Linked DNA regions of Macaca mulatta. The protein of the gene in region 1 purifies or fractionates together with the protein of each later gene. This does not show direct contact. Links are inferred from orthologs where the notes say so. Each region holds a gene or a part of one and is shown on either strand. Other genes may lie near its edges. The genes, in order: NUP153, RAN and NUP133.

Region 1 (10,657 bases):
CACTGTGCACGGCCCCAGTTTTTGTTTTTGTTTTTTTTTTTTTTTTTTTTTGAGACAGAGTCTTGCTCTGTCACCCAGGCTGGAGTGCAGTGGCAGGATCTCAGCTCACTGCAAGCTCCGCCTCCCGGGTTCACGCCATTCTCCTGCCTCAGCCTCCCGAGTAGCTAGGATTATAGGCGCCTGCTGCCACGCCTGGCTAATTTTTTGTATTTTTAGTAGAGACGGGGTTGCACTGTGTCAGCTAGGATGGTCTCGATCTCCTGACTTCGTGATCCACCCACCTCGGCCTCCCAAAGTGCTGGGTTTATAGGCGTGAGCCACCGCGCCCAGCCTATGCACGGCCACTTTTTACTATATTATATGGGGAAAAAATAAAGAAGTTTCGAGAAGGACTATTGTGGCAACAAGCTTTTCATGAATTGCAGTGTCTCCCAATGTGCCATTTGTTTTGGCTGAAAAAACTAGGCCCATGTTGAATGCAGATTTCCTCCTGTCTCTTATTCCTTCTTTGCTCTCAAGCCTGGCATGACTTCCAATGATTCAATCACATGAACGTGAGATTAATATATTATAGTTCCCTCAAATCCTATTTTACTTCCAAGAAATAAAAGAATTGTGGAAATGGGTAAAAAGTTGAGAGCATGGGTAAAAGGAATGTGGATTTTCCCATATCTCCTCAAGTTCTACCAATCTTCTATTTCTGAAGCATTGTCTACATTTGGCCCAATTCTTTCGCGTCTCTCTTCGTTTCAAAAGTTGGCTGTGAAGGGTGTCCGGCACATCAAAGAATGGCCTCTAAGAAAGGGGTGAGCTTTGATTCCAGTCAGTCCTCTGTTCTGTGGTGGAAACTCCTGAGTCTGATAGAGTGAAGAGGGCAGATGGGATGTGGCTACAGTTTAATCTCCTCTACATATAACCCAATTAAAGATTCAGGTACAGATCTTCCCTATGAGTTAACTTATCGTGAATTACTTTACTTGGCTATCAAGTATCTAGCTATGGATTTGTGGAAGAGTAGGATTTCTGCATAGGAGGAAGATAGCACTTGAGGGAAACAATTGTCTTTAAGAAAGATGAAGTGCTTCAGGAGGAAGAGGGGACATACTTGGAGAGTTTAGTGGGAAGTTAGTGGTGGAAGGAGGCATGAAGCTAGGATGGGAGAGTGGAAGAGAAAATAGATTAATTTTGTTTATCATATTTGGCAACTTGTCTTGATTTTGATGGTTATGGTCAGAGGTGCCACTGAAAGCCATTGATGTGTACACCTATGCTTGGTATAGCATAGTTTCTTTAGGCACTGAAAGGTACAAGTTCAAAGGTACTAGAAGATTGGCTTTACAATTTCACTTGTATGATTTAAACCGTGAACCTGAATTGTGCAGTTGGATTTTGGAGATAGTATAAATGTCTTGGAACTAATTATTTATATCTGATTCATGGTTGATATTGGATGCTTTCTATCTAAGCAGTTATTATGAACTAGATATACATTCATCCTTTCACCAGACCACTGCCCTGTGAGGTCAATATTCACTCTATTTGCAGATGAAAAAACGAAGCTTAGAAACAGGATCAGTGGGCCGGGGGCGGTGGCTCACGCCTGTAATCCCAGCACTATGGGAGGCCGTGGGCGGATCACCTGAGATTGGGAGTTTGAGACCAGCTTGACCAACATGGAGAAACCCTGTCTCTAGTAAAATACAAAATTAGCCGGGCGTGGTGGCACATGCCTGTAATCCCAGCTACTTGGGAGGCTGAGGCAGGAGAATCGCTTGAACCCTGGAGGTGGAGGTTGCCGAGATTGCACCATTGCACTCCAGCCTGGGCAAAACAAGAGAAAAAAACTCCATCTCAAAAAAAAAAAAAAAAAAAAAAAAAAAAAAAAAAAAAAAAAGAAAGAAACAGGATCAGTAACTTCCCAAAGGTTACACAGCTAGTAAGTGGCAGATTTACAGTAAATTGACTGGGAGTGGTGGCTCACACCGGTAATCCCAGCACTTTGGGAGGCCAAGGTGGGTGGATCACTTGAGGTCAGCAGTTCAAGACCAGCCTGGCCAACATGGCGAAACTCCATCTCTACTAAAAATACACAAATTAGCTGGGCGTGGTGGTGCACACCTGTAGTCCTAGCTGTTTAGGTAGCCGAGGCAGGAGAATCACTTGAACCTGGGAGGCAGAGGTTGCAGTGGGCCAAGGTTGCACCACCGCATTCCAGCCTGGGCTACAGGGCAAGACTGTCTCTCAAAAAAAAAAAGAAAGAAAGAAAAAATAAGCTTTATAGTAAGTCTAAGATTTTTCACAATAGATTTTTCCTCCCTAATCATTTGGCTATTTGTCTTTAACTCTTACAGAAAAGTTGGGTTATAGTCCTGGCTTTGATTACCCATCTCAGTGTCATTGATTGTGCCACCTAAATTTCTCTGGACCTCTTGTCTGGTTGGTTGAATGAGAGGGTTGGACTATGTGATCACCAGGGCCTTTCTAATCGTCAACTCCTAGAATATATATTTTGTGGATTCAGTCTTTGAGTCTAGTTCACTTACTCAGTTTCCTAAATACAATGCCTTCTATTTGGAGCAAATACGGTATACTTTTATTAGTAAGGATGTATCTATCACTTACCTCTAATGTTAGCTGACTGTATGGGTTAAAATTGTAATCATTCATTGCATTTTTCGCCTATTAGTAAATATACATGCTCTCCATAGATGATCACGTCTGCCTCTCACAACAGCTTTATAAAACTCCCATTTTATGGAGGAGGAAGCTAAGGCTCAGACGGTTTTGATTCATCCAAGGTCAAATAGGTTGGGTGGCGGAACCAGAATTCCAGCCCCGTGTGTCTGGCAACAAAGCCTTTATATGTTTAAATAAACATTAATGAAGTCGTATATATTTTCTAATTCTAAGGATCATGGACATTGTTTTTCAACCACAGATTTTTTTCCTCCTTCTTAAATCATTAGCTCTTTGATTTTACTATCTGCTTACTTCCTGCCCACTTAACCAACCGACAGGGAGAAGGAGAGTGGGAAGAAGTTACTGTTTTTATGTTAAGTGCCTTTTCAGAGTCTAATTTACAACCAAGAACGGCAAAAGTACCCCTTGGCTTTGTGCCTCTGCGGCGCTCCGGGGATCTCCTTCCCCGTCCCTCTCCCTTTCCGAGAATCCGCGTTCCGTTGTTGAACTACGTTTCCCAGCGTGCCGCGCGGCCGAGAGAGTGGACTCCATCAGTCCTTCCTCTTTGCCTACCAGCTCGTCGTAGCATGATGATGCAAATGCGTCGGGCGCCTGTGAGTGACGACATTCTGGCTCGCGACCGCGGCAGCCGCCTTAGCCGCGGTAATAGGCGCAACGGCGGCGGAGGCTGCAGGGACGACGACGACGGCGGGGCGGGCGCTGTGCGCACAGGGGAGGGGTAGGCGGGCGGCGCCAGCGGCTTCAACTGCGGCAGCTACGGCTAGGGCGACGGAAGAATCCCCACCAGTCGGCGGTCGAGTTAGGCCTCAGCACCGCCGGGAGCTGTTAGTGCTGTCCTCTGCGGGAGATCTCCATAGAGACCGTGACATACACAGAGGCGGGGGTCCGCAGAGGCGGCGGGACCGGAGCCTCCTCGGCCTCTGCGGCCGCCACCCCCTTCCCCGCTGCCAGCACTCACCCTCTCTCCGCTCCTGCTCGCAACCTCGCGGTTCCTGGGGTGCTTGTGCCCACTGTGTGGACAGCTCGGGCGGACTTTTGGGCCGGGGCCGGGCGGCGGGGGGGGCGCTCTAAGGCCTCCGCCTCTGCCTCTCCCGCCCCCTTACCCGCCCCGGAGCGGGAAGCGGCGGAGGCTCCGCCATGGCCTCGGGAGCCGGAGGAGTCGGAGGGGGCGGTGGCGGCAAGATCCGGACGCGGCGTTGCCACCAGGGGCCAATTAAGCCTTACCAGCAGGGGCGACAACAGCATCAGGTATGGGACCCCGACGCCGCGGTGGCCTGGCGGGTGGGGAAACTCGGCTGGAGGGGACGGGCGGTTCGAGGCCCCGGCGCCCCACGTGGAGCAGACAGGAGGGCCTGAGGAAAGGCCCGAGTGAGGCTTCGGGGGAGCTCAGGCCGTTGGGGGTGGCGACGGGAAGTGGGCTGAGACAGGTCCAGCCTTGCGGCGCACACGTGTGGTTTGGGCCGCCTTTCCCCCAACCCTCTGGGTCAGGGGTTTTCCCAGGCAGGCTCTGGGCGGGAAAAGAAATTGTAGGCCCAGGATGCGCGCGTTTCTTTCTTTTTTGGCGGGGATTTGGAGTTTGAGGGTATTACTCACGTCCTCTCGAGGGAGAAAGGAAAAGTTGTGGTTGATTGCCCTTGTTGTTTTCTGGTGTCCCTCCTTTAGTGTGTGTGTGTGGGGAGTGGGCTGCCCCGAGGAATCTTAACTCTGGGGCAGACGGGGAGTTGTGGGGGGCGCTGTTACATGGAAAGTGGAATAACTTAGTCTCAGCCTATGAATTAATTCTCGGTTTCCCCTGCCGGTGTTCCTCCTCGTCTTGAGAGCATTGGCTTAGGTTTTCTTAACCGGGTTATAGTTAACCGTGGCACTGGGGCATTTTGAAAGTCCCTCTCCACCCTTACGTCTTTTCTCTGCTGCGCGACTCCCCCCCACCCCCGCTTTTATTTTGGAGGCTGGAATTGGCCATTCTCCACAGTTGACCAGGACTCCAGCTCTGATCTCATACACAAAATATTTTAATATTATGAGGCGTATTCTAGAAGTTTAGTTACTTTTGACGCTCCAGGAATGTTGGTGATCTTATAGTTTAGCCAGTGTATGAATTCGTGGATGTTTAAAATTATAAAAAAAGATTATCGTAATTGTAAATGAGGTAGTTGATTCTGAGAAAATTCCATTTTTAAAATAATTGGTTGTTAGAAGGATTGAATAGGAAAATGTTAACTTATTTTAATAAAGCCACTTAAAAATTTATCAATGATACTGAGGTGGGAAGTGTGTGTTTTAAATTTGTTGAAAAACAAAAGTGTAGCAAAAGGATCTGATAACTTGTTGCCTACTGTTAAAGGTAGACTTCCTAGATTACTTTATTCTGGATGCTAATAAATATTACACACTTTCACATGGTTGATGTTGTTAAATTGTGTCATTATCAACAGATTTGTAAAAGTATGGGTCGGGCGCCTTGGCTCACGCCTGCAATCCCAGCACTTAAGGAGGCCAAGGCGGGGGGATCACGAGGTCAGGAGATGGAGACTATCCTGGCTAACACGGTGAAACCCCGTCTGTACTAAAAATATAAAAAAATTAGCCGGGCGTGGTGGCGGGCGCCTGTAGTCCCAGCTACTCGGGAGGCTGAGGCAGGAGAGTAGCGTGAACCCTGGAGGCGGAGCTTGCAGTGAGCCGAGATCGCGCCACTGCACTCCAGCCTGGGCGACAGAGCCAGACTCCGTCTGGGGCGGGGCGGGGGGGAAGGTAAAGATTTGAGGACTTTTTTTTTTTAAGTTTTCTTAAATGTTTTTTATTTTGAGGGAAATGTTTGAGTAGTGAAAATCGTGGCTCAGGTATTTTAAGTCGTTCTCTACTGATGGTTAGGTTTGGCATTGTTATTACTTCTACCAATTTTCCCCGAGATATATATGTAAAGTACTTAGTTTTCAAATTTGTGACGAACAGGGGTATTTGCAAGCAGATTTAAGATTAGAATTCAGGTCACAAGCCTGGCCATTTAACCTAATCCTTCTATAGAATGGAAGTTAGACATGCATGCTTTCTTTTCTCCTATGAATGCCTTTGAGTGCTTAGATTTTCTTGTATGACATGTATAGAAAAATGACGTGTTTTAAATATAGGTCATTGGATGGTCTGGATAGAGGTTAGAAGGGAATTAATATTTTCCAAATGTCTGAAGTTATCACAGCTTATTTTGAAATGTACTTAGATAAAATAAAAATCTAATTTTGGGGAGACGATGCCTTAACAGCATAATACCTATGATCCAAGGTGTCTTAGAGTTGATATGGCTTCAGGCTGTGTAGTTTTGTTTTAAATCTTGATAGTTTATCATTGCCCCTTATCTAAAATACTTTTGCTTCTTGCTCTGGCTATTTAATTAAAAAAGAAAACATATTTTAGCTTTTGAATTGGGAATTAAAGGTATTTAGGGGTTTCTTGATCAACACTGTAGGTGCTCTTTAATATTGTCAGAAACTACCACTACCCAAGAAAAGTATTCAGGTACATTCAAAAGAATACTCTATTTTTTTTTTTTAATCTTAAAAATAAGGGCTTTCTTTAGTCCTTATTGAGACTTTGGTGAACATAGGGTCTACTCACTTGCTGTCTACTATCCTAGACTGTGAACTGGATGTTTTGCAGCAGCTGCTGAGTCATCATGAAGCAAGCTTCATGACATGGCATGTTTTATACTCATGTTATTTGATTAAGTGTCCAAGGGTTTCTGAGCAAAAATTAAGCTTTTGGTAGTATAGCGGAAAGCTGAAGTAAGAAACAGTGAGAGGTCTGGTGCTCTTACTTGATGGATGTTTGCCAGTGCCTGTCAGGGCAACTTGCTAGTACGGTCACCCAGTACCTGTGACTTCTGCATGTGTTCATTTGACTTGTAATTTCCTGTTTTGACTTCTGGATTTAGCTCTCCTGGGAAATGCTATAAGTTTACCACTTTCCCTCTTAAGCTCTGATTTTTTTTTTTTTGAGATGGAGTCTCGTTGTGTGGCCCAGGCTGGAGTGCAGTGGTGCAATCTTGGCTCACTGCAACCTCCGCCTCATGAGTTCACGCCATTCTCCTGCCTCAGCCTCCCAAGTAGTTGGGATTACAGGCATGCGCCACCACACCTGGCTAATTTTTGTATTTTTAGAGACCAGTTTTCGCCATGTTGGTGAAGCTGGTCTCAAACTCCTGACCTCAGGTGATCCGCCCACCTTAGCTTCCCAAAAGTGCTGGTATTACAGGCATGAGCCACTGTGCTGGGCCCAACTTCTGATCTTTAAAATGTCATCTTGCATGAAGTCGTGCAGACAAATTCATTGTCTTGCTCAGATAACTGCAGGGTAATAAGGGTAATAACTCTTACGAATTGTAGAAGCAAATATGAAGAACATCCCTGAATAATGCAAGCTGATCATTCTCACTTGCCTTCTCCCTTACCCCTTTACCTTTTTGCCCAGATGCATTTAGGAAATGGTGTCATTTTTCTTTTCTTTTCTCTTTTTTCGAGATGGAGTTTTGCATTTGTTGCCCGGGCTGGAGTGCAATGGCGCAATCTCGGCTCAGTGCAACCTCTGCCTCCCGGGTTTAAGCTATTCAGCCTCCCGAGTAGCTGGCATTACAGGCATGCGCCACCACACACGGCTAATTTTATATGTTTTGTACAGATGGGGGTTTCTCCATGTTGGTCAGGCTGGTCTCTTGGCCTCCCAAAGTGCTGGGATTACAGGCGTGAGCTACCTTGCCTGGCCAGAAATGGTGTCATTTTTCTAGTTGGGAGTGAATAGGTCACTGAAAAGAATGTGGTTAGTTCCTGTCTTCCTTTCCCATTTCCTTTTTGTTCAGATCCTCAGGCACAGAAAGTCAGCTCTTTGGAGAGGTTAAGCTGCTTGCTTTTCTTAGTAGCCACTACAAAAAACTTGAGCCCATGGGCAAACCAGAACCTTGCCTCTGGCAGAACTTACTGCCACCTCCTGGTGAGAGGAAACCACTTATTTTTGCCCTTTTTGACCAGGGGAGGGGATGGGGGTGTATGGGGAGTGTGCTTCAGACATTTATCTTCTGGTTTAGAGCTAAGGGACTCCGCCTTTAATCCTACTTGATATGGTTTGTCTTACAAGTCAGTTCCTGCATTTAGCACCTCCCCCCCCACCCCCCAGACGGAGTCTTGCTCTGTTGCCCAGGCTGGAGTGCAGTGGCGCAATCTTGACTCACTGTAACCTCCGCCTCCTGGGTTCAAGCAACTCTCCTGCTTCAGCCTCCTGAGTAGCTGGAATTACAGGCATGCACCACCACGCCCGGCTAATTTTGTATTTTTAGTAGAGATGGAATTTCTCCATGTTGGTCAGCCTGGTCTTGAACTCCTGACCTCAAGTGATCCACCTGCCTTGGCCTCACACAGTGCTGGGATTACAGGCATGAGCCACTGCTTGGCTATTTTTAAAAAGGGGAAGGAAACCTCTTTATCAGTAGCTTAGATCAGGGTTCAGTAAACTTTTTCTGAAAGGGACACAGATAGTAAATTTTAGGCTCTGCTGTGGTAAATTGTCCTTTGTTTTGTTTTTAACAATCCTTTAGCAAATGTAAAAACCATTCTTAGCTTGTATGAAAAAGGCCAAGGTCTGAATTTGGCCCAGCCCACAGATCATGGTTTGCTATACCATGGTTTATATGATAATATAGTTTTTATTTGTTTTGGTAGCTTCTTTGTGATACTTCATCCCAAATAAGTATGTCCTGCCTGGTGTCTGATAGCTGGAGTGTCCTCAGATTTGAAAAGGAGGGATATTTAGAGGTTGAATATTTAAATCATTCCAGAAGCCACCAAGTTCTTGACTTTTATTTTGTCCTTATTTGCTTTATCCTAGATGCTTAATCAGTGGGAATAGAAGTGGAAACATTGATAGGATTGGATAGTTGATAGGAAAAAATTGTAGTGTGGTGGAGTCAACCTGAGTTTGGATCCCTGTTCTACCTGGACTTGGACGAGTTAATTTATTCATCTGTAAAGTGAAAATTGTTGTGGAGGTTAAATGGGACAAGTGGAGCTTTTAGAACAGGACCTGGCATATGTATATAAGTAAGGAGTTGTTTAAAATTGAGTCCTTACTATATATATGCAATTGAGATTTGAAATTAAATAGAACTGTTTGATTTAGGGTCTTTTTTTTTTTTTTTTTTTTTTTGGGAGACTAGAGTTTTATTTATTGAAATTAGCCTCCTGATTTAGGGTCTTCACATTGTCTCTGAATTTTCCTGCTTCTTATCAGAGGTTTTTTTCCTTTAGGTGACTAAATTCAATAGTTGCATATATTAAATAGTTTAATACAAAGTAGGTCTTTTGCTTGTGATGAGAGGTTTCATGTGGTATTATATTAATTACTTAATTTTTCTAATAAGTGACAAAAAAGCCCACTTGCTGTATCCATTTTCTGGGAAATCCCTGACAAGGCAGGTATCTTAGTTTGAAATAAAATAAAAACTGTGGTCTGATGTCACTAATTAAAACTGTTTTCTTTTCTTTTTCTTTTTGAGACAGAATCTAGCTCTGTCACCCAGGCTGGAGTGCCGTGGTGTGATCTTGGCTCACTGCAGTCTCCGCCTCCCAGGCTCAAGGGATTCTCCTGCTTCAGCCTCCTGAGTAGCTGGGATTACAGACGTGTGCCACCACGGCTGGCTGTTTTTGTAGTTTTAGTAGACATGGGGTTTCACCATGTTGGTATGGTGGTCTCAAACTTCTGACCTCAAGTGATCTGCCCTCCTCGGCTTCCCAAAGTGCTGGAATTACAGGCATGAGCCACCTCGCCTGGCCAAAATCATTTTCCTTAGGCACAGAGTATTATTGCAAAGATTGTAATTGTCTTGTATTTTTTTCTTTTTTTGAGACGGAGTCTCGTCCTGTCACCCAGGCTGAAGTGCAGTGGTGCAATCTTGGCTCATTGCAACCTCCGCCTCCCAAAGTGTTGGGATTACGGGCATGAGCCACAGTGCTGGGCTAGCTTGTATTTTCTCTTTTTTGTTTTTTAGACAGTCTCTCTCCATCTCCCATGCTGGAGTGCAGTGGCACGATCTCCACTCACTGTAAGCTCTGCCTCCTGGGTTCACGCCATTCTCCTGCCTCAGCTTCCCAAGTAGCTGGGACTACAGGCGCCCACCACCACGCCCAGCTAATATTTTGTATTTTTAATAGAGATGGGGTTTCACCATGTTAGTCAGGATGGTCTGGATCTCCTGACCTCGTGATCCACCCACTGCGGCCTCCCAAGGTGCTGGGATTACAGGCATGAGCCACCGTGCCCGGCCCTGCTATCTTGTATTTAAAAAAAAAGAAAAAATTATTTGTAGCTATTTAGCTTATCTTCATGGTTGCGATATATTTTTAAAAGATTCTTCTGTTTTGGGAAGCCTGGTTTCAAGTCTTGCTGTCACAATTTGCTGTCAGAAACGGGATGATAGGATGCCTTTTCTAACTATAGATATTTCAGTTTGCTTGAGTTTGCTTATCTTTTTCATAGTGTGATTTAAGAAATAAACTCTTACTCCCAATTTTCAAACATGTTACATGAGAAAAAGTGTGATGGTATCTTGTAGGTAACTTTTAGTGAGTTTAACTACTGTGAGCTTTTCTTTTTTTTTTTCTTTTTTTTTTAAGACAGTCTCACTCTGTTCCCCAAGCTGGAGTGCAATGGCGCGATCTTGGCTCACTGCATCCTCTGCCGCCGGGGTTCAAGTGATTCTCCTGCCTCAGGCTCCCAGCTAATTTTTGTATTTTTTCGGTAGAGACAGGGTTTCGCCATGTTCCCCAGGCTGGTCTCCAACTCCTGGATTGAAGCAGTCCCCCCGTCTCGGCCTCCAAAGCGCTGAGATTACAGGCGTGAGCCACTGTGCCTGGACCTGAATCAAGTTTCAATAATCTGAATTTAACATCCAAATCTAAGACATTATTGGTTGTAT
Region 2 (10,778 bases), on another chromosome or scaffold:
CACGGTGAAACCCTGTCTCTACTAAAAGTACAAAAAATTGGCCAGGCGCGGTGGCTCAAGCCTGTAATCCCAGCACTTTGGGAGGCCAAGACGGGTGGATCACAAGGTCAGGAGATGGAGACCATCCTGGCTAACACGGTGAAACCCCGTCTCTACTAAAAAATACAAAAAACTAGCCGGGCAAGGTGGCGGGCGCCTGTAGTCCCAGCTACTCAGGAGGCTGAGGCAGGAGAATGGCGTGAACCCGGGCGGCGGAGCTTGCAGTGAGATGAGATTGCGCCACTGCACTCCAGCCTGGGCAACTCCATCTCACAAAAAAAAAAAAAAAAAAAAGAAAAAGAAAAAAAAGAAGCAAAACACAACAATTTCAGTATATTTTCCTGTTTTCACTCTGCTCCTAAGGTGGTCTTTGTTTCTGAGATGGGTCTCACTATGTTGCCAAGGCTGGAGTGCAGTAGCTATTCACAAGTGGGATCATAGCTCACTACAGCCTTCTGACCTCAAGCAATCCTCCCCTCTCAGCCTCCATAGTCGCTGGGACAACAGGTGCGTGCCACCACATCCGGCAAGATGATCTTTAGAAAGTTCCGAGCTTGGGCTGGCTAATAACACTCACAGCTGAGATACCACGCCAGAGCCCCATTGAAAAGGCCAGGTGCTAGAACAACTAATACTCTCGGTTTGACATATTTCCACTTGGTATTTTTGTAGGGGAAAAAAATGCCAAAAGGTATAAACACGGGTGTTCCAATGCCCAGAACTGTATAGTAGTTAATATATTGTCACCTTTGCTTTGATTACCTTTTTTCTTTAAATTTTTCTAATTAATTAAAAAAATTGTCATCCTTGGCTGGGTGCGGTGGCTCACGCCTGTAATCTCAGCACTTTGGGAGGCTGAGGCGGGCAGATCACCTGAGGTCAGGAGTTCGAGACAGGCCTAGCAAACATGGCGAAACCCCATCTCTACTAAAAATACAAAAATTGGCCGGGCGTGGTGTCGTGGGCGTGTAAACCCGGCTACTCAGGAGGCTGAGGCAGGAGAATCGCTTGAACCCGGGACACAGAGCTTGCAGTGAAATGAGATCACGGCACTGCACTCCAGCCTGGGCAACAAGAGTGAGACTGTCTCAAAAAAAAAAAAAAAAGAAAGAAAAAAAGTAAAAGAAAAAATTGTCATCCTTGCGCAGGTGGCATGCTAATCTTCTCTGTATCATTCCAATTTTGGTATACGTGCTACCAAAGTGACCACTCGATTACCTATTCCAATATAATGAAACCCCATCTCTACTAAAAATAAAAAAATAAAAATAAAAAAAATTAGCCGGCTGTGGTGGCGCATGCCTGTAATCCCAGCTACTCAACTAGCTGAGGCAGGAGAATCGCTTGAACCTGGGAGGCGGAAGTTGCAGTGAGCCGAGATCACACCACTGCACTCCAGCCTGAGCGACAGTGAGGCTCTGTCTCAAAAAAAAAAAAAAGAAAGAAAGAAAAATAAAAAACAAAAGAAATAGAATATTGCAAGTAAAGTTAAAGTCTTCTTTGACTCCTCTTCTCAGTTCCATCACACTCCTTTCTACCCTTTCTTGAAGCAGTAACCATCAGGATATGGTATGTATATCCTTGCAATTAAAAAAAATACATATATCCAATAGCCAATATGCTTTTATGTTTTTGTAAAAAACGTACACAAATGACATTATACTATATATATAATCCCTCTAGATAAAGTTACATATAGTGTTAGGCTTTATGTAATAATTTTGGAAACAGGGTCTTACTCTGTCTCCTAGGCTGGGAACTCCTGGGTTTAAGGAATCCTCCTACCTCGGGCTCCCAAAGTGCTGGGATTACAGGTGGCCTAGACTTTATAAAGCTATTATCACCTCTTTCTGCTTTTCTCAACATTATCCTTTTGACGTCTATCTAAACCTGTGGAAACAGACGACCGTCAATCCTTTTAAATGTTATACAGCATTAAATGTTGTGCACATGTGTGAGGCGTGAGTTTAACTCTCGAGCCTCTCCCTAGAAATGGAAATCCACGGTCACAAGCAATGGGCATTCCCGTTTTACTGTTAGATTCTGCTCTCCCGCGAGAGGTGCTTGGCGTTCCCCTGAGGGTTCTGGGGGAGCTCGGACTTGCGTTCCCAGCAGGCCGGTTCTCCCCCGCGTTGTGACCAATTTGCGTCACTGGGGTTCCCAGCGGACTCAAGTGTGCCCAGGACTGCAGGGAGGACTCCTCGGTTACCGGGACTCTTTCACCATGCTGGACTCTTCTAAGGCGCTTGACTGCGCTGATTTGAGCCTTTTTCCGTCTGCATGTCGGCAGGGGCGCCCAGGAAGTCGGGGTCGCTCTAGCTCAACCTTGTTTGGAGTCTTACAGCTTCAGGCCAACACGGGGCTGGGAAGCTGAGCACTTATTCCGTCCGCGTTCGTAACTGGGGCTGGAAGACGCGCCCAGACTGCAAACAAAATTTTATCATTTTGTTTGTAGGACGCAGCGGCCAAGGCTGCCAACCTATGAAACGCTTTGAGAAGCTGGGCGCTTTGGGAGGCCGAGGCGGGTGGATCCCCTGAAGCCAACCTGGGAGACATAGTAAGATCCTGTCCCTAAAAATTAAAAAAAAAAAAAAAAGAAAAAAAATTACCCCGGATGTGGTGCGCGCCTGTAGTCCCAGCTAATTGGGAGGCTGAGGCGGGAGGATCGTTCGAGCCTGGGAGTTCGAGACCAGCCTGGGCAAAATAGCGAGACTCTGTCTCTTTTTTTTTTTTTGAGACTGAGTCTGGCTCTGTCGCCCAGGCTGGAGTGCAGTGGCCGGATCTCTGCTCACTGCAAGCTCCGCCTCCCGGGTTTACGCCATTCTCCTGCCTCAGCCTCCCGAGTAGCTGGGACTACCGGCGCCCGCCACCTCGCCCGGCTAGTTTTTTGTATTTTTTAGTAGAGACGGGGTTTCACCGTGTTAGCCAAGATGGTCTTGATCTCCTGACCTCGTGATCCGCCCGTCTCGGCCTCCCAAAGTGCTGGGATTACAGGCGTGAGCCACCGCACCCGGCCGAGACTCTGTCTCTTAAAAAAAAATAAGTAGCCATTTTCCGGGGTGGGGGCATCCCTCTCTGGTTCCTCGCTCTCCAACTGGCCCTGGTCCTGGGGGCGTGAAGGCTGCGATCTGGAGAGACAGAGCCGCGGGCTGACTCTGGAGGCCCAGCCTAGGATCCCTTCATTCATTCATCCGTTCTGTCACTCACCCGTCCTGCGCGCACGCGAGCGCCATCCTAAGCCCCAGGACCCCAAGTACCCCAACCCCACGGGGCACAGACAAGGACTGGCTGGCCAGCGCCTGGAAGCCGCGTGCCTGACCGCGTCTGCCCAAGCGAGTACCGCCTCCCACCCAAGAGGTAGCACGGCCGCGACAGTCCGGCCGCGCCCAACGACTCCCGCCCAGGGGCGCGCCGCCTCCCTGTCAGCGCATGCGCGCCCCCGAGCCCGCCCTGGGCGCCGGCGCACGTGGCCCCCACGGGCCGGCATGCGTGCGCGCTCCCGGCTCGCCCTCCCACGCGGTCCATCGCGCCTCCCGCCCCACCCTAAGCGCAGCGCCGGCCGCAGCGGCCGACTGAACCAGGTTGCGTGCGTGCGCGCGCGCACGCGCGGGCCACGTGGGCGGGCGCCGTGCCGTTGCCCCGCCCCTTGTCAACCCCGCCCCCGTCGGCCCCGCCCCTGCCCGCGCGCCGGCGTCGGCTGCGTCTCCGGCGTTTGAATTGCGCTTCCGCCATCTTTCCAGCCTCAGTCGGACGGGCGCGGAGACGCTTCTGGAAGGTAGTGAGACGCGGCGGGCCGGGCGGGGGCAGGGCCGGGCGGGGACAGGGGCGGCGGCGGCGGGATAGGGGCCGGAGCCGGGGTCAGGGCCGGGGCAGGTGGCGGGCCCAGGGACAGCGGGCGGCTGTGAGTAGGTGGGTGGCGCGGGCCCGGCCGTGCCGGGGCAGGAGACGGGCATGGGGTCGGCGCCCGCCCCCGCGAACCCCCGTTTCATCCTCCGCTCTCATTCCCGTCCCGGTCTCAGTCCCGTCCCTATCCCGACTCCTCCGTCCGCCGTTCCCCGCGCCCCGCCGCCCCGGATGCCGGCCCCGCCCGCCGCCTTCCCGCTCCGAGGCCCGGCCGCCATGGCGCCGCGGGCGGGAGGCCTTTGTGGGGCGGGCACGTGGGGCGCTGGGGGCGCGGGAGCGGGGCCGCCATGGGCTGCGGGGCCGCGCGAGCGCTCGCCTCCGTCCTCTGCCTCCGCAGGAACGCCGCGATGGCTGCGCAGGGAGAGCCCCAGGTCCAGTTCAAAGTAGGTAACCCTGCGGGGCGGGAGGCGGCCGAGTCCGACCGCGTGCGACTCGCGGGTCCCTCCTCCCGGACCCACGATGGCTGTAACGGGGCCCCGCATCCATATTCTTTGTTTTAAGTGAGCCTGTGATGGTTAAAGTTCCATGACTCTGGGATCTTGAGAGGTGAAGTGTTTTGGGTTTACTTCCAAATGTGTTCTCCAACAGCTTGTATTGGTTGGTGATGGTGGTACTGGAAAAACGACCTTCGTGAAGCGTCATTTGACTGGTGAATTTGAGAAGAAGTATGTAGGTATGTGCAGGAAAACCTTGCTTGTGGAAATACGTGAGAAATGGGTAAATTCATCCACTCAATCATGTCGTTTCCGTTTTAGCCACCTTGGGTGTTGAGGTTCATCCCCTAGTGTTCCACACCAACAGAGGACCTATTAAATTCAATGTATGGGACACAGCCGGCCAGGAGAAATTCGGCGGACTGAGAGATGGCTATTATATCCAAGGTAGGCATTTGTAACTTGCTGAACAGTTTTTGAGAGGTTTTGTGTACTTCAGTTTTCAAGGTTATAGAAAATCAGGTCTGTTCCAACAAATAGTGCTTAATACTGTAATGGGAATTGTGTCATTTCTGGGTTAAAAAAAGACGTGGACTTCAGGGAGTTGACCACCATTTTGGTGGCAGAGGAGAAAATTTTATGAAAGTTGCATGCTGTGTCATGCTAGGCATGGTTTAGAAAAACCTATGACTTACACTGGAACTTATAAGTCATGTTTAAAACAATAACAGGCTGTTAACAGCAGTTTCAGTATTTGAAAACTTTGGTTCTTGTGTGTAGTTTGGTGTGGCGATCAATGAATATTTCTAGTCCATTACAAAGCAACACCAGATACTAGACCAGAGGAGATAGGAGGTCTTAACAAGTGTTATACAAGACTAGCCGATTTCTTGTTAAATTGTTTGTAGTAAGTTGTGCAGAGTATTTTTCTCAAATAGTTTGATTTAAAAATCTCAAGGAAAATGTTCATTGTACCAAAAAGAGAGGAATAAACAAAATACTCATCTCTCCTGGAACCTCACGTTGCTAATAACACATTATCTGGAATCATTCCATGCCTTTTGCTCTTCTTGAACGTGTACATATAAACACAAGAATTTCCCCCCCAAAAAATCCTTTAACCAAAAAGTTGTGGTTTCTTGCCTTACTAACTGTACCATAGTTATTCCTGCAGGTGAGTATATAGACTTTATCTGGGTTATTTAATTTTTTTTTTTTTGAGACAGGGTCTTGTTTTGTTGCCCAACCTGGAGTGCAGCTTCCGCCTCCTAAGCCTCAGCCTCCTGAGTAGCTGGGACTACAGGCACCTGCCACTTTGCCTGACTAATTTTTGTATTTTTTTTTGGTAGGGATGGGGATTCACCATGTTGCCCATGCTGGTCTGGAACTCATGAGCTCAGGTGATCCACCCACCTCAGCCTCTCAAAGTGCTGGGATTACAGGCATGAGCCACATCGCTTGGCCTATCTGGAGTTTTTAAGACAGGAATGATATTTCCTAGTATAGTCGGCCATTTAAAGACTTTCTGAAGACTATTTCCAGGCCCTACCCTCAGAATATGGCAGCTTGGTTCTCCAGAATCTCACTTGGCATTAATTACTTCAGATAGTGTTTTGGGGATGAGGGGAGTATTAATGGTGAAGTTTATCAGGGAGATTTGATAGAATCAGCTCATCTTTCTTAGGAAGAGTTCTGTGTTAATGTTCTTAGAATTGAAAGAGACTTTGAAAGTGAGGGGAGAGATCTAGGTGCCTTGTTGAGGTCTAAGACTATAGTTGAATCCTAGTCTGCGGTTCTTAGCATTCTTCACTTGTGTGGTAAACAGTGTACTAATTACCGCAACTGTTTCTTTCAGCCCAGTGTGCCATCATCATGTTTGACGTAACATCGAGAGTTACTTACAAGAACGTGCCTAACTGGCATAGAGATCTGGTGCGAGTGTGTGAAAACATCCCCATTGTGTTGTGTGGTAACAAAGTGGACATTAAGGACAGGAAAGTGAAGGCGAAATCCATTGTCTTCCACCGAAAGAAGAATCTTCAGGTGTGTAAAATTAAAACTTCCTGAGTTATTTCTCTTAGCGGAGATTGTATGTAAGACCATGAAATTGACCAGTGTCTATTATATATGGAAATGATTTTTTTTCTCCCAAGATGGAGTCCCGCTCTGTCCCCCAGGCTGGAGTGCAGTGACGCAATCTGGGCTCGCTGCGACCTCCGCCTCCCGGGTTCAAGCAGTTCTCCTGTCTCAGCTCCCCTAGTAGCTGGATTAAAGGCATGTACCACCACGCCTGGCTAATTTTTGTACTTTTTTTTTTTTTTTTTTTTTTTTTTAGTAGAGACGGGGTTTCACCATGTTGGTCAGGCTGATCTCCGACTGCTGACCTTAAGTGATCCACTTGCCTTGGCCTCCTGAAGTGCTGGGATTACAGGCATGAGCCACTGTGCTGGCAGGAAATAATTTTGTCTTTTTTTATACTATTGTTTTTAAAGAATGATAGAGATGGGGTTTCACTGTTGTCTGGGTTGGTCAACTGAGATACGTGTGTGTATTTATATATTCTTTGTTTTTTGAGACAGGGTCTTCCCCTGTTGCCCTGGCGGGAGTGCAGTGTCATGAACATAGCTCACTGCAGCCTTGAACTCCTGGGCTCAAGCAGTCCTCCCACTTCAGCCTTCTGAGTAGCTGGGACCACAGGCATTCAAGACCATGCCCACCTAATTTGTTTTTTTGTAGAGATGGGGTCTTGCTCTGTTGCCCAGGCCTGATCTTGTACTATTGGCCTCAGGCAGTCCTCCCACCTCAGCCCCCCCGCAAAGTGCTGGGATTACAGGCATGAGCCACCATGCCTTGCCAAGAATCTTAACATTTTCTTGTCTTGCCATGTCCTAGAAAAATCGTCATCTTAATGAATTTTAAAAGGTAAAATTATTTTCTTTTAAACAGTACTACGACATTTCTGCCAAAAGTAACTACAACTTTGAAAAGCCCTTCCTCTGGCTCGCTAGGAAGCTCATTGGAGACCCTAACTTGGAATTTGTTGCCATGCCTGCTCTTGCCCCACCGGAAGTTGTCATGGACCCAGCTTTGGCAGCGCAGTATGAGCACGACTTAGAGGTATTACGGCCACTTTGCTGTCTAGGCTATAACGTTTGACTTGTATATTCCTGGCAGTTTTGATCTGGAGTGTTAACATTTTTTCATCTCTTCGTCTAGGTTGCTCAGACAACTGCTCTCCCGGATGAGGATGATGACCTGTGAGAATGGAGCTGGAGCCCAGCGTCAGAAGTCTAGTTTTATAGGCAGCTGTCCTGTGATGTCAGCGGTGCAGCGTGTGTGCCACCTCATTATTATCTAGCTAAGCGGAACATGTGCTTCATCTGTGGGATGCTGAAGGAGATGAGTGGGCTTCGGAGTGAATGTGGCAGTTTAAAAAATACCTTCATTGTTTGGACCTGCATATTTAGTTGTTTTGGAACGCGGTTGATTCCTTGAGTTTCAAATATAAGACTGCTACAGTCACATCACAATATTCAGTGGTGAAATCTTGTTTTGTTACTGTCATTCCCATTCCTTTTCGTTTAGAATCAGAATAAAGTTGTATTTCAAATATCTAAGCAAGTGAACTCATCCCTTGTTTATAAATAGCATTTGGAAATCGCTAAAATAGGGAAATTTTATGCCATGTTAATATTTGAATTGCCTTGCTATTATCGCTTAATTTGAAATCTATTGGGTTAATTTCTCCCTATGTCTACTTTTTATTTTTGTACATTTGAGCCATGTCACACAAACTGATTATGGCAGATCAGCAGTATTCTATTTGGTTAGAAGGGTCACATGGTGTAAATATTAGTGCAGTTAAGCTAAAGCAATGTTTGCTCCACCTTCATTTTGGCTAGGTAGGGTCACCTAGGGAAGAACTTGCTCAAAATTTGTGACCTGTCAGAATAAAAAATAATGTGGTTTGTATATATGAAATAGATATTTTAAGGGTAATACTTTTGTTTTATGGCAAAAGTAATCATGTTTTAATGTAGAACTTCAAACAGGATGGAATATCAGTGGATGGCAGGAGCTTGGGAATTCTTGCTGTTAAGTACAAATTTTGCACTTTTTGAATGTTAGATGCTTAGTGTAAAGTTGATATGCAAGGAAAATGGTCCATGTTTACCCACGGTTTTCAGGTACTCCCGGACTTTAAAGATGTCTTGGACATTAAGTTCTTAAGCAGTACACACTACACCGTTTGATTATTTTTTTTTTTCCTCCTAAGGATTTTTTTGTAGGGCAGCACAGCAGAGCAGGACATGGATGAAATACTAGGAATACGCATAGTGGGGCAGTGTGGGGGCTTCTCAGCAATGGAGAACAGTTGGTGAAACCTTTATTTTTATCAAACTAAGCATTTAATCTTGTATATTTCCCACATTTAAAAATGAATTAGGTCTCTATCCTAATTAGGATTTGATCCCATCAACACTATTGTAGCAGTTAGGAATCTTAAGAGCTATTTTTTTTTCATACAATTACTATAGTCCAGTTTACCAAAGTTTTCTTTAGATGTCTGATTATCTTGAGGTGATTACTTACCTTAAAAGGTATAGAAAGGATCACTTACATATATGGAAAAATGAAACAAGGGTGAAGCTGAATAAAGTTCTACTTACTGTATTAACTGGCAACAGTTGAGTTTCTTAAGATCTGAATTGCTGTGTATGTTACGCTGTATTCAGAACCAGTTTCTAACCAGCCTGTGAGATGGGAAGTTTTTTTCCCATAATTGGGATGAAACCTTTCATTCAGATATTTTGAATTGAAGGTGTATGTGTTGTTTGTAACCTTGTGTAGATTGCAAGTGGTGTTGACATTCTGGATCTTCTATGTAACAGTTGAAATTTGGAAGTGACGTCGCTTACCTGTCTAACATGGTGTGGGAGAGAATTTACAAGTCATTTATTGAAAGAATAATTGTTGCAAAATATATTGCTTCGACTTTGCCTGGATTTTTTGAATCATCTGTAGTATTTGCTTTAGGAAATACTGACTAGTTAGCAGAGATTATTATCTTTTATGTGGGGGGTGGGGTGGGGAAGGGGTCATTTCTCTCCAGATTGTACATATGGGAAAAGTTGGCTCTCCCTTTTTTGAAATCTCCTAATGAAAGCTTTATACGAAGTTACTGCAAACTAGTAATAGCTTATTCGAGCAACGTCATTAAGAAAAAGCATAGTTAACGCATGGGTCTTGTGTGGATATAATGTGAAACATTGGTAAATTAGCGGGCAAAATGTTGGAGAGCAGTTTCAATTTGTGTGAGAGCCAGTTTTTTTTTTTTTTTAAACCCATATAGAATTTTTTTTTTTTTTTTAAATCATAAAATGTCTGGAAAAGATGAGACTCCAAAATAACCTCCAAAGAGGACTGGTTTCCTGGCTAACTGTTCACCTGAAGGAACTCAAGTACAGAGAATTTCTGGTTTCTTCTGCAAAAACATCAGGAACACAAAAAATTACCCGCTGAGCAAATGGGGTGAGGGTTGGATTCAGCTTTTCTTGCTGGCAAACTGACACATCGTGTATGATGCTTTCTGCCACGTTGGGGCTGTGCAGGGCTGTCCTGCCCAGCAGGATAACGTGAGACTAAGCTCTCCCTGTGTGAGGCAGACCTTGTACTAGGACAGCAGCCATCCTAACTCCCTGCAGCACCTTTTACCCTTGAAGCCTAGGGCATGTTGGGGAGAAACCGCACCTCACCACGGAAACCTTATCTTTAGTTAAGGGGTCAGAGTCCAATTCAAAAAACATCTGATGCATCTCTCTTGCTCCACATTTCCTACAAGGTCTTGCAAGCTCTGGTGACACGTGCATCCTGAGATCACACACCTGTGTGCATACTGCTTTTCAGAACTCCCCCTTACCTCTCCTGAAGTCAGTCCTACCAGTTAATGCTTTACCTGCTTTAGAATTCACTCACTGGTTTTTACCTTAAGTGAGTCAGATGTCCGACTACAGACATCACAGATTGCTCTCAGCCCTAGTCAGCATGGCAAATTTGCAATTGCGACTTTCCCTTCCTAGTCTAATTGCCACGGGGGCAAGGGCCATGTCACTGCTTTTTCATGTCCCTAGTGTTTACTAAATGTTCTATGGGAACCTGGAGGAACAGAGAACTTGGGGGTTAGAGAGAGAGTGGGATTGATGGAGGTGGGTGGAGAGGAGCTGGGAGAACTTTATACACCATTAGGTCTGACTATTCCGAAGTCATGCTGGTATTTCCTTCCCGAGGTTTGTAGCTTATACTCTCTTTTTAGTTTTTTAGATTAATTTATTTTATTTATTTATTTACTTTTTTAGAGTCTCTCTCTCCCAGGCTGGAGTGCAGTGGCGCGATCTCGGCTTA
Region 3 (10,656 bases), on another chromosome or scaffold:
CCTCCTGAGTAGCTGGGATTACAGCTGTGCACCCATGATGCCCAGCTAATTTTTGTATCTTTTTTTCTTTTCTTTTTTTTTTTTTTTTTTTGGAGATGGAGTCTTGCTGTGTCGTCCAGGCCGGAGTGCAGTGGTGCAATCTCAGCTCCCTGCAACCTCTGCCTCCTGGATTCAAGCGATTTTCTGCCTCAGCCCCCCCGAGTGGTTGGGACTACAGATGGGTGCCACCACGCCCGGCTCATTTTTGTATTTTTAATAGAGACAGGATTTCACCATGTTGGCCAGGCTGGTCTCAAACTCCTGACCTCGTGATCCGCCTGCCTCGGCCTCCCAAAGTGCTGGGATTACAAGCGTGAGATATGCACCCGGCCACTGTTACCATCATAAAAAAACATCTTTGGGAGGGTAGGGGGAGGAAGAGCATCAGGAAAAATAGCTAATTCATGTGGGGCTTAATACCTCGGTGATGGATTTGATAGGTGCAGCAAACCACCATGGCACATATTTTATTTATTTATTTTTTTTTTGAGAGAAAGTCTTGCCCTGTCACCCAGGCTGGAGTGCAATGGCACGATCCTGGCTCACTGCAACCTCCGCCTCCCAGGTTCAAGCGATTCTCCTACCTCAGCTTCGTGAATAGCTGGGATTACAGGTGCGCACCACCCCACGCCTGGCTAATTTCTGTATTTTTAGTAGAGACGGGGTTTCACAGTTCGGCTGGTCTCGAACTCCTGACCTTGTGATCTGTCTGCTTCAGTCTCCCAAAGTGCTGGGATTACGTGCGTTAGCCACTGCGCCCAGCCTATTTACTTTTTGAGACAGAGTCTCGCTCTGTTGCTCAGGCGTGAGTACAGCGGCATAGTATCAGCTTACTGCAACCCCCACCTCCAAGGTTTAAGTGATTCTCCTGCCTCAGCCACCCAAATAGCTGGGACTACAGATGCGCACCACCACGCCTAGCTAATTTTTGTATTTTTAGTAGAGACGGGATTTCACCAGGTTGGCCAGGCTGGTCTCGAACTCCTGACCTCAGGTGATCTGCCCGCATTGGCCTCCCAAAGTGCTGGGATTACAGGTGTAAGCCACCGCCCTCAGGCTCTAACATTCCTTTATTAAATTCTTTTAACTACCTAGCTTGAGGGTACCATCTGTTTTCTCTAGGACTTTTTCTTTTCTTTTTTTTGAGACAGAGTTTTGCTCTGTTGCCCAGGTTGGAGTGCAGTGGCGCCATCACGGCTCACTGCAACCTCCACCTTCCTGGCTCAAGCAATTCCCCAGCCTCAGCCTCCCAAGTAGCTAGGATTACAGGTGCACACCACCATGCCCAGCTAATTTTTTGGTATTTTTAGTAGAGACGGGATTTCATCATGTTGGCCAGACTGGTCTTGAACTCCTGACCTCAGGCAATCCACCTGCCTGGGCCTCCCAAAGTGCTGGAATTACAGGCGTGAGCCACCACGCCCGGCGTTCTCTAGGATCTTATTTGACAGAGCCTAAAGGCCCTTCATAGTCTCTCCTTATTTCTCCAATTTCCTTTACTTTTAGTCTTTCAGGTTGATTTGTCTGTTTAAAGTCCCTGGTTCTAATCCCAGCTACTCAGGAGGCTGAGGCTGGAGGATCACTTAAAGCCACAGGAGTTTGAGACCAGCCTGGGAAATATAGCAAGACCCCATTTTTTAAATTGTATTTTTTTAGAATTTAAAATAAAATTTCTTGGGGAGACAGGGTCTCACTATGTTGCCCAGGGGCTGGTCTTGAACTACCGGCCTCAAGCCATCCTCCCACACCTTAGCCTTGCAAGATTCTGCGATTACAGACGTGAGCCATTGTGCCTGGCGGTGAGACCCCATTTCTAAAAATGTATATATAAATAAAAAATAGGCAGGCGTGGTGGTACATGCCCATGGTCCCAACTCTGAGGCTGAGGCAGGAGGATCACTGACGCCCAGGTCAAGGATGTGGTGAGCTTTGATCACGCCACTGCACTCCAGCCTGGGCAACAGAGTAAGACCCAATCGCTAGAAAAATAATAAAGTAAAATAAAAATAAATAAAGTCCCTAGAATGCACCAAGTCCTTTGCTGCTTCAGGACCTTTGGCCAAGGATCCTCTGCCTGAAATATTCTTCCTCGCATTCTCTTATGCTTCATATCTCAGGTTAAATGTCCTTTTCTCCCAGAGGCCTTTATAGACCTCCATCCAAAAATAGGTAGCCCCAGTGATTCTCTCTCATACACTTTGCTGTTTTATTTCATAGTACACATCTCAGCTTGTAGCTGGATATTTGTGTTCATTTTTTCAGTGTCTTTCTCGTTGGTCTGTAATCTCCATGAGAGTGGGACCCATTGGGCTTTGTTTAGTTATAAACCTTAGCACTTATCACATAGCCTGACAAATAGTAGGTACTCACTAAATCCATAACGAATGGATGACTTTTAGTGCTGTCTGCTCACTATCCTTCAAGTCATACATTTGGACTCCAGGAAAGTTCTTGCTCAAAGGTGCCGGCAAGTCATTCTAACTCCTGCAAACAACAGCTTTTACAATAGGATGGTGGGGAAACCACTAACCAGTCCAACAAGGCACAAGAATACAATTGATTCCACCAATCCTCTCAGACACAACTATTAATACTCTTTATTGCCTATTTCACACCCCTCCTTGTAAGGATGAAACAGGAGGAAAATGCACTGGGCTCTCAGAGCCCTAAGACTCAACAAGCTGCCAAGTTGGATTAGACACCCAGGTTGGAGAAGGAGTAAAGCAGCTAGCCTATGGAACCTTGGCAAGATAACTGCTCAGATGCCACTGACATGCATAGATCGATGACTGGCTTCCCAGGGGAATGTCAACAACTGACACCCACACTGTGGTCTCCCACATGTGGATACATCAATGTTTACTTAACCATCCCCTTATTTCAACACGTGTTGAATGAAAGTCTACTATATGTCTGTTACTGTGTGCCACAAAGGTAACAAAGTCACTGCTCCTGCTGCTTTTAAAAGACATTTACAAGGAGGTACTTGAGAGACAGTTATGAAAACAAACTATTATGCAGGATAAAAATACAGTCTACACAAAGGAGCAGAGAGGACAAAAAGGATAAGGGGTATCTAATCCTGTGGAAGGTTTCACTGAGAAGGCAGCACAGAACTGACTTGATGCGTAAGGTAGGCGCCTTCCGGACCAACAAGGCACAGAGTGCATTCCAGGTGAAACATGTACATGCGCAATGGAGGGGGATTTGGGTTTTTAAGTTCTTGGAATGTGGAGTACAAGTGGGAAGTGGTGGAAGTACAACACGGACAGAAAAGCCAACCTTAGATCACATAAGACCTTGCAAAGGAGCTTAGCAAATAACTACTGGCAATGGTCAGCCACTGAAGCATTTACAGGCCCAAGAGCAGCATTAGGTTTGCCTTAATTCATTGGGTTGGCACTGAGAAGATAGAGTGGAGTCAGACTAGACACAGGTAAGGAACCATCTCCCCGTCTCTCGTCTCTCCCACTCCCTCCCGCTGGCAGTAAAGAGGCTACGCAGTGGTTGAAGAAAAGTACCAGAACCAGGGCAGAGGCGGTGCAAATGTGTGATCTAATACAGATACGTAGGAGCTACAACGTATACCAGGATCTTAGGGTGGAGGTAAGTGTGAGGGATGACTGCAGATAGAACTCCTCTCTTTGCCTTGGACAACTGGCCAGTCTTACCAAGCTGGGACAGAGATGGTGGTAGAAGAGGGGTCCTAAAAGGAAAACATGAATGTGCTTTTCATAAGCGGATTGTGAGGAGTCCGCAAGACTTACAGGTGAATGTGTCCCCTAGGGAGCTGATTTGATAGGGGTCTGGGGGTTTTGAGCTGGATCCAGGTTAGAGACACGGATTTATGGCGTCATTAGCGTGGAAGAAACTGTGCAAAGTTGAATGGGAAAATGGCAAACCTAGAAAACAGCAAATATCACAGTGCGATACCAGTGTCAGCTTTACAAAAGGCTTTTCTCCGTCCTCAGCTTGGACTGAGGAACATCTTTCATTTCACAAGAGTCTCAGGAACTACCAGTGTGAAAAGAGGCTGCGTTCAAGTTGCTGGAGGGCCAGTTCCAACTAGGAGCAGTCAAGAAGGAGGCCTGGCTTTGCGGCTTCACGTCCCTGGAAGCTCTGCACTCCAACGGTTCTGGATCTGCGGCCACGGGCCGCCTTCCCGACCTCCCCCGCGGGCTGGGCACCGCCCTTAACGTCACGATCACGCCCCCGCCAGCGCTCCTACCGCAACTCGCGAGAGCCACTGCGTTTGACGTCATCATCGCGCGCCATCCCTCCCCTTAGGTGTTTAATCTCCGCGGGCAGGCCGCGCTGAAACCCGACGGCCAGATCCCTCGCCGTCCAAGTCTCTGTTCCTTCGAATCATGTTCCCAGCCGCCCCTTCTCCGCGGACCCCGGGTCCCGGGTCCCGAAGGGGCCCCCTGGCCGGACTCGGGCCCGGCTCCACGCCCCGGACGGCCAGCAGGAAGGGTCTGCCCCTGGGGTCTGCAGTCAGCTCTCCAGTGCTCTTCTCACCGGTGGGCCGGCGTAGCTCGCTAAGCTCGCGGTAAGTGATCTCCTTGGTTGGGTCTGGCAACCAGCAGGCTCACGGGCCGCAGTGGGCCGGATCGGTGTCTTCAGAAGCCTTCGGAACCGGGGGCGGCGGAAGAGAATGCCAGAGTATTGGAAAATAGACGTTTTCCACTCTTGCAGGTCATACCTGCTTCACTTTTTGAGTTGATTCCCCACTTTGCATTTTTCGTGGATACCTTTGTGCAGAAGTGAAGTACAAACCGGATTCGCATCAATGGTTACCCACTTCCCACCTACTACCGCTGTGATCGGGCGTAAGTCACTCGTGATTTTCTTCATCTGTGAAATGGCGATAATATGTGTCACCTGAGCCAGAGGAGTTAGTATGAATTGCCACGATGCAGATGTAAGGTGATGGTGATAATGAGGACCTGCAACCCTGAAATATAATTGTTTAATGCCTAATATACCAACTGACATTAATATCTGATGATTGGTAATTGAAGGGTTTCTAGCTACGGAATTTAACTTTCTAGGTAAATTATAGGGAAAAGGCTTTACATAAGTGAGATAAGAGTACTGTGGTAATTTAGTTACTAAAACTGCTGGTTTGGAGCACCAGTAAAATCACACACACCCTTCCCCCCGCCCCCCAACACACACCATGTTCACAATTAACCTAAAACTTTAGAAGATAACGTGTTTCTGCATAGTTTTGTCTGAATTCATCTATAATAAATGAATTTTTCCCTGCAGGAAAACACCGAGTATTGTGTCTTGAAATTATGGTTAAAATTTATCTGTAAAATTTTGCAGTACTTTAAAGGATAAGTGGTTTTTAAAGAATGCACCATATCTTTGTGACTTTTCTTGGGCATATTTTGAAAAGTACAAAGTGCAGATCTTGGCATTGTTTTCTATTCCTTTAACGAAAAGTTGGAGAATAAAAGCGTACTTTATTTACTATGTATGTTGTTTTATTTAAATCTCTTCTTTCTGATGATCATTTGAATAAAAACCTTTGTTATCCTCTGTCAAGAAACAAAGCCCTCAGCCATTCTGTATGTGCATCTCCTCATTTAATTCTCATAAGACATAGAATAACTTATTCTGGTGGCTTTACAGTATTCTAAATGTTAAGAAGAGTGTGAGCAGGAAATAGTTTTTACTCTGATATCTGCTGTTGAAGACCATGTAACAGCTGATGCTCGTAACCTGTTTGATTTCTTGCTTGGTTGTACAGATCTGATAGATTTTTTTTTTAAGAGACAGGGTCTCACTCTCTGTCGCCCAGGCTACAAGCTGGTGCCACAATGCCTGGCTAATGTAAAATTTTTTTTGTAGAGACAAGGTCTTGCCATGTTGCCCAGGCTGGTCTTGAACTCTTGGTCTCAAGTAGTCTTCCCACTTCAGCCACCCAAAGTGCTGAGATTATAGGCATGAGCCACTGCCCCAGCCAGATCTGGTAGATTCTTAAAACCCTAAAGCCAAATGAGAACGTAAATCTCATCTAAGCCAATATTTGTAAAATATATTTGACCACAACATATGGTAAAAGCTGATGTTTTATATTCTGTCTTTCAAAAATATTGATTGAGATCTGCAAAACGACCCACTGTTTGAAAAAAACACTGGTCTAGTTAAGCCTTATTTCACAGCTAAAGAGGCAGAATTATAAGGAGTTTAGGTGAATACAGGCATGCATTTTATTACTAGAGCATATGGAATTGAAGCCTAGTTTTCCTAAATCCTGTCTTTTTACATGAAAAATATTACATTTAATTACATGATAAATATGAGCCAGTGTTAATTTTTTTCAGAGAACTCCTTATTGTGAAAATATATACATAAATAATTAGGATAATGGAAAATTTTAAGTTATAAGTAAGGTAATTAGACTTTTTTCTTTAGAGGAACACCAACACGAATGTTCCCACACCACTCCATAACTGAGTCTGTGAACTATGATGTGAAAACGTTTGGATCTTCTCTTCCTGTTAAAGTCATGGAAGCGCTAACATTGGCTGAAGGTAGGTGTCATCTTTCCGTTTACCTATATTAGCAATTTAGGATGGAGCCTAGATGCGGCATAGAGATTAAATTTATGTTTTCTCACGTATACCTTTATGTAAATGGAGAGAGATGGGTAGCCTCTCTAGTTTTCTTTTTTTTTTTTTGAGGCAGAGTCTCACTCTGTCACCCAGGCTAGAGTCCAGTGGCACGATCTCAGCTCACTGCAACCACCGCCTCCCAGGTTCAAGCGAGTTTCCTGCCTCAGCCTCCCAAGTGGCTGGGATTATAGGTGTGAGCCACCATGCCGGGCTAATTTTTTCTATTTTTAGTAGAGACGGGGTTTCACCATGTTGACCAGGCTGTTCTGGAGCTCCTGACCTCCGATAATCTGCCCACTGTGGCCTCCCAGAGTGCTGGGATTACAGGCATGAGCCACCACACCCAGCCACCTGTCTAGTTTTTTATTTTATTTTACTTTTTTTTTTTTTTTGAGACGGAGTCTCGCTCTGTTGCCCAGGCTGGAGTGCAGTGGCGTGATCTCGGCTCACTGCAAGCTCGTCCTCCTGGGTTCACGCCATTCTCCTGCCTCAGCCTTCCGAGTCATTGGGACTACAGGTGCCCGCCACCTTGCCTGACTAATATTTTGTATTTTTAGTAGAGGCTGGGTTTCAGTGTGTTAGGATGATCTTGATCTCCTGACCTCGTGGTCTGCCCGCCTCAGCCCCCCAAAGTGCTGGGATTACAGGCATAAGCCACGGTGCCCAGCCCTAGTTTTTTACTATAATTGAGATATATAATAAATTTGAGAAGGAGAATGAGTTCATTTGAACACAATCAAATTAAGTCTAATGGTTTTAGGTACTGTACACTAGTCCTCCATTATCTTTGAGGGATATTTTCCAAGATTCCCCAGTGGATGCCTGAAACCTTGTATAGTACCAAACCCTATATATACTGTGTTTTTTCATGCGTACACTCCTATGATAAAGTTTAGTTTATAAATTAGGCACAGTTAAGAGATGAATAGCAATAACTAATAAAGTGGAACAATTATAACAATATACCAGCACTACTCTTGTATTTTGGGGTCATTAAATAAGAATACGAGCATTGCATTACTGCAACAGTTGATCTGGTAACTGAGACAGCTACTAAGTGACAAACAGCTGGATAGTCTCAGGGGTGTCCAATCTTTTGGCTTCCCTGGGCCACACATAAAATACACTTACCCTAACAAGAGCTGATGAGCTATAAATAAATAAATAAATGGATCTGTGTGTAAATCTCATAATGTTTTAAAAAGTTTACAAACTTGTGTTGGACTGCATTCAAAGCTGTCCTGGGCCACACGTGTCCCTGGGCCGTGGGTTGGACAAGCTTGGTGTATACAGTATGGAAATGCTGCACGAAGGGTTGATTCACAACCTTTAGACAGGACAGCATGAGATTTTTATCACTTTCCCCAGAACAACATGCAATTTACAACTTAGGAATTGTTCATTTGAATTTTCCATTTAATATTTTCAGACTGCAATTGACCACAGGTATTTGAAACTGCAGATAAAAGGGGGAAATACTGTATATGCAAAATTCAGTCTTGTTTGAAGAGTTGATCAAGTTTATGAAGTTTACCGTTAAAAAAAAAACCCCAAAACTGGCACTTTATGTTATTGGGTTTAATAATATAGTAAAATCAAGTCCTACCTCTATTTCTGGATCCTATGTAGCATCCCAGAGGCTGTGTGCACAAATTTATGATGTTACCATTGTGGTGGTGTACCTTTAGAAGAGTCTGTTGGCAGAGAATTAGTGTGGAATTTTGACAGATACAATCAACACAAGCTTAGGCAACTTTAAAGATGAACAGTTGGATGACACTGAAAGAGCAAAGTTCAGAGCATCCTTAATATCTGCTGAAGTCATTTTTATTGAGGATTGAATTCTAGATCTTTGTGATTTTTCTGGAACAGTGTTTTTCAAATTGTAGGAGTGACCAAAATTTAGCGGTTCTTGACCAGCATTTAAAAAAAGAAGAAATAGAATGCATCTCATATAATGTTTAGTAAATTTTTGTTTGTTTTACTTAAATTGTATATGGGTGTATCATGATGTAAAATGTATTACACTGTGAATAACTCTATTTACTGTATATATTACTGTTGACAGTAAAAAAAAAAAAGCTGAAAGTACTCTGTTTTAGAAGAAGGAATATATCTCATCAGCTGGAACTTGCACATCTTGCCTATAGGTCCTTGGGAGCTTTAGGGATAGTTGTTTTCAGACAACTAAACTACCAACCTCTATATACATTGTTCTGTTTTAAATAAATATACATATTGTGTATATATATATGTATATTTTTCTCCTCTAAAAATTTCATTTTAAATTACATTTAAACCTTTTAATGTACTCCTGCTATTTTAACAGACTAGATTAAATAACACAGCCCCATATCTAGAAATTCAGAGTCCCTAGGAGTCCGAATATATAAAACAAAGAGATATGTCAACTTGAAGAACTCTTCCGCACTTAGAAACCTGCCAACTACTGTTAAGTCAGCCCTTAAGGGCACACCAGTTGAAGATCTGGAGTCGTTGTAGTGCTTTCAAGAAAAAGGAAATTACTGAGCAGATAGTTCAGTTGAGCAAAAAGTCCTCACTCAGCCTGGGCTTGGTTTGATATTTTCGCTTGTACATTGTGCCTTTTACTTCGCCCTTCTACCTTTCTTTAAAGAGCAAAGTTCGACTTAATAAAATTTCCAGGGCTGTTAACACGTTTGTGGAGGTTTACCACCAATACTAAGACGTATGCTAATTTAGTTTTGTCACTTAATAGAGAATGAAACTCTTTGTCTCCATATAATAAATAATTTATCATTTCTTTAAGGAGCTCTTATTTGAAAATTATGTGTGTTTGAAGGAACATTATTTTCCTTGAAATGTTTTATATAGTTAATGAGTTTATTATTTATCGATATAAATGTTGCTAAATATTTCTTTTTTGTTTGTTTGTTTGTTTTGAGATAGAGCCTCGCTCTATTGCCCAGGCTGGAGTGCAGTGGTGCGATCTTGGCTCATTGCATCCTCTGCCTCCCAGGTTCAAACCATTCTCCTACCTCAGCCTCTAGAGTAGCTGGGATTACAGGTGCACGCCACCACACCCGGCTACTTTTTTTTTTCTGTTTTTGGTAGAGACAGGTTTTCATCATGTTGGCCAGGCTGGTCTCAAACTCCTGACCTCATGATCTGCCCACCTTGGCCTCCCAAAGTGCTGGGATTACAGGCGTGAGCCACCTCGCCCAGTCTTTTTTTGTTTTTGTTTCCGTTTATTTATTTTTTGATGTGGAGTCTTGCTCTCTTGACCAGGTGGGAGTGATGTGATCATGGTTTACTGCAGCTTCAGTCTCCTGGGCTCAAGTGGTCCTCCTGTGCCTCGGTCACTCTAGTAGCTGGGAAGTGCACCACCAAACCTGGCTGGGTTTTTTTTTGTTTTCTTTTTGTTTTTTTTTTTTTTTAAAGAGATAGGGTCTCACTTTGTTGCCCAGGCTGGCCTCAAGCAGTCCTCCCACGTTGGCCTCCCAAAGTATTGGGATTTATAAGCTTGAGCCACCATGCCTGGCCTAAATATGACTTACAGGAAATAAGGTATCTGGTCTGTTTGTAACAAAAAATTAAGGAATATTAAATGTCCCAAATACAACTGTTGCCTTTAGATATATTTCTTTTTTTTTGAGATGGAGTCTGACTCTGTTGCCCAGGCTGGAGTGCAGTGGTGCGATCTTGGCTCACTGGAACCTCTGCCTCCCAGATTCAAGCGATTCTCCTGCCTCAGCCTCCTGAGTAGCTGGGACTACAGGCATGTGCCACCACACCCAGCTAATTTTTTGTAGTTTTAGTAGAGATGGAGTTTCACCATATTAGCCAGGATGGTCTCGATCTCCTGACCTTGTGATCCATCCACCCTGACCTCCCAAAGTGCTGGGATTACAGGCATTAGATATATTTCTAAAGCTGGTTATCAGAGTTAAATAGATTTGTTGTTTTTGGTGTTGATAATTTTGGAATATTCAAAAGTATTTGTTGTGAATTA

The links.
Region 2: the proteins of NUP153 (region 1) and RAN purify together in Homo sapiens (affinity purification with mass spectrometry; 5 studies listed by BioGRID and IntAct, counting the BioPlex papers as one, with this or other methods). This does not show direct contact. The link is inferred for Macaca mulatta from reciprocal best matches to the Homo sapiens genes NUP153 and RAN.
Region 3: the proteins of NUP153 (region 1) and NUP133 purify together in Homo sapiens (co-immunoprecipitation; 3 studies listed by BioGRID and IntAct, with this or other methods). This does not show direct contact. The link is inferred for Macaca mulatta from reciprocal best matches to the Homo sapiens genes NUP153 and NUP133.

Annotation. Positions count from the first base shown.
Region 1 is NC_133409.1:165,354,439-165,365,095, forward strand, and holds the start of NUP153 (nuclear pore complex protein Nup153), read left to right. Parts: upstream 1-3,663; 5' UTR 3,664-3,837; coding exon 3,838-3,948; intron 3,949-10,657. UniProt on the Homo sapiens protein: Component of the nuclear pore complex (NPC), a complex required for the trafficking across the nuclear envelope. Functions as a scaffolding element in the nuclear phase of the NPC essential for normal nucleocytoplasmic transport of proteins and mRNAs.
Region 2 is NC_133416.1:138,250,751-138,261,528, forward strand, and holds RAN (GTP-binding nuclear protein Ran), read left to right. Parts: upstream 1-3,782; 5' UTR 3,783-3,814; intron 3,815-4,279; 5' UTR 4,280-4,289; coding exon 4,290-4,325; intron 4,326-4,530; coding exon 4,531-4,615; intron 4,616-4,697; coding exon 4,698-4,823; intron 4,824-6,231; coding exon 6,232-6,419; intron 6,420-7,322; coding exon 7,323-7,493; intron 7,494-7,592; coding exon 7,593-7,637; 3' UTR 7,638-7,998; downstream 7,999-10,778. UniProt on the Homo sapiens protein: GTPase involved in nucleocytoplasmic transport, participating both to the import and the export from the nucleus of proteins and RNAs. Switches between a cytoplasmic GDP- and a nuclear GTP-bound state by nucleotide exchange and GTP hydrolysis.
Region 3 is NC_133406.1:19,534,084-19,544,739, forward strand, and holds the start of NUP133 (nuclear pore complex protein Nup133), read left to right. Parts: upstream 1-4,296; 5' UTR 4,297-4,406; coding exon 4,407-4,588; intron 4,589-6,465; coding exon 6,466-6,584; intron 6,585-10,656. UniProt on the Homo sapiens protein: Involved in poly(A)+ RNA transport. Involved in nephrogenesis.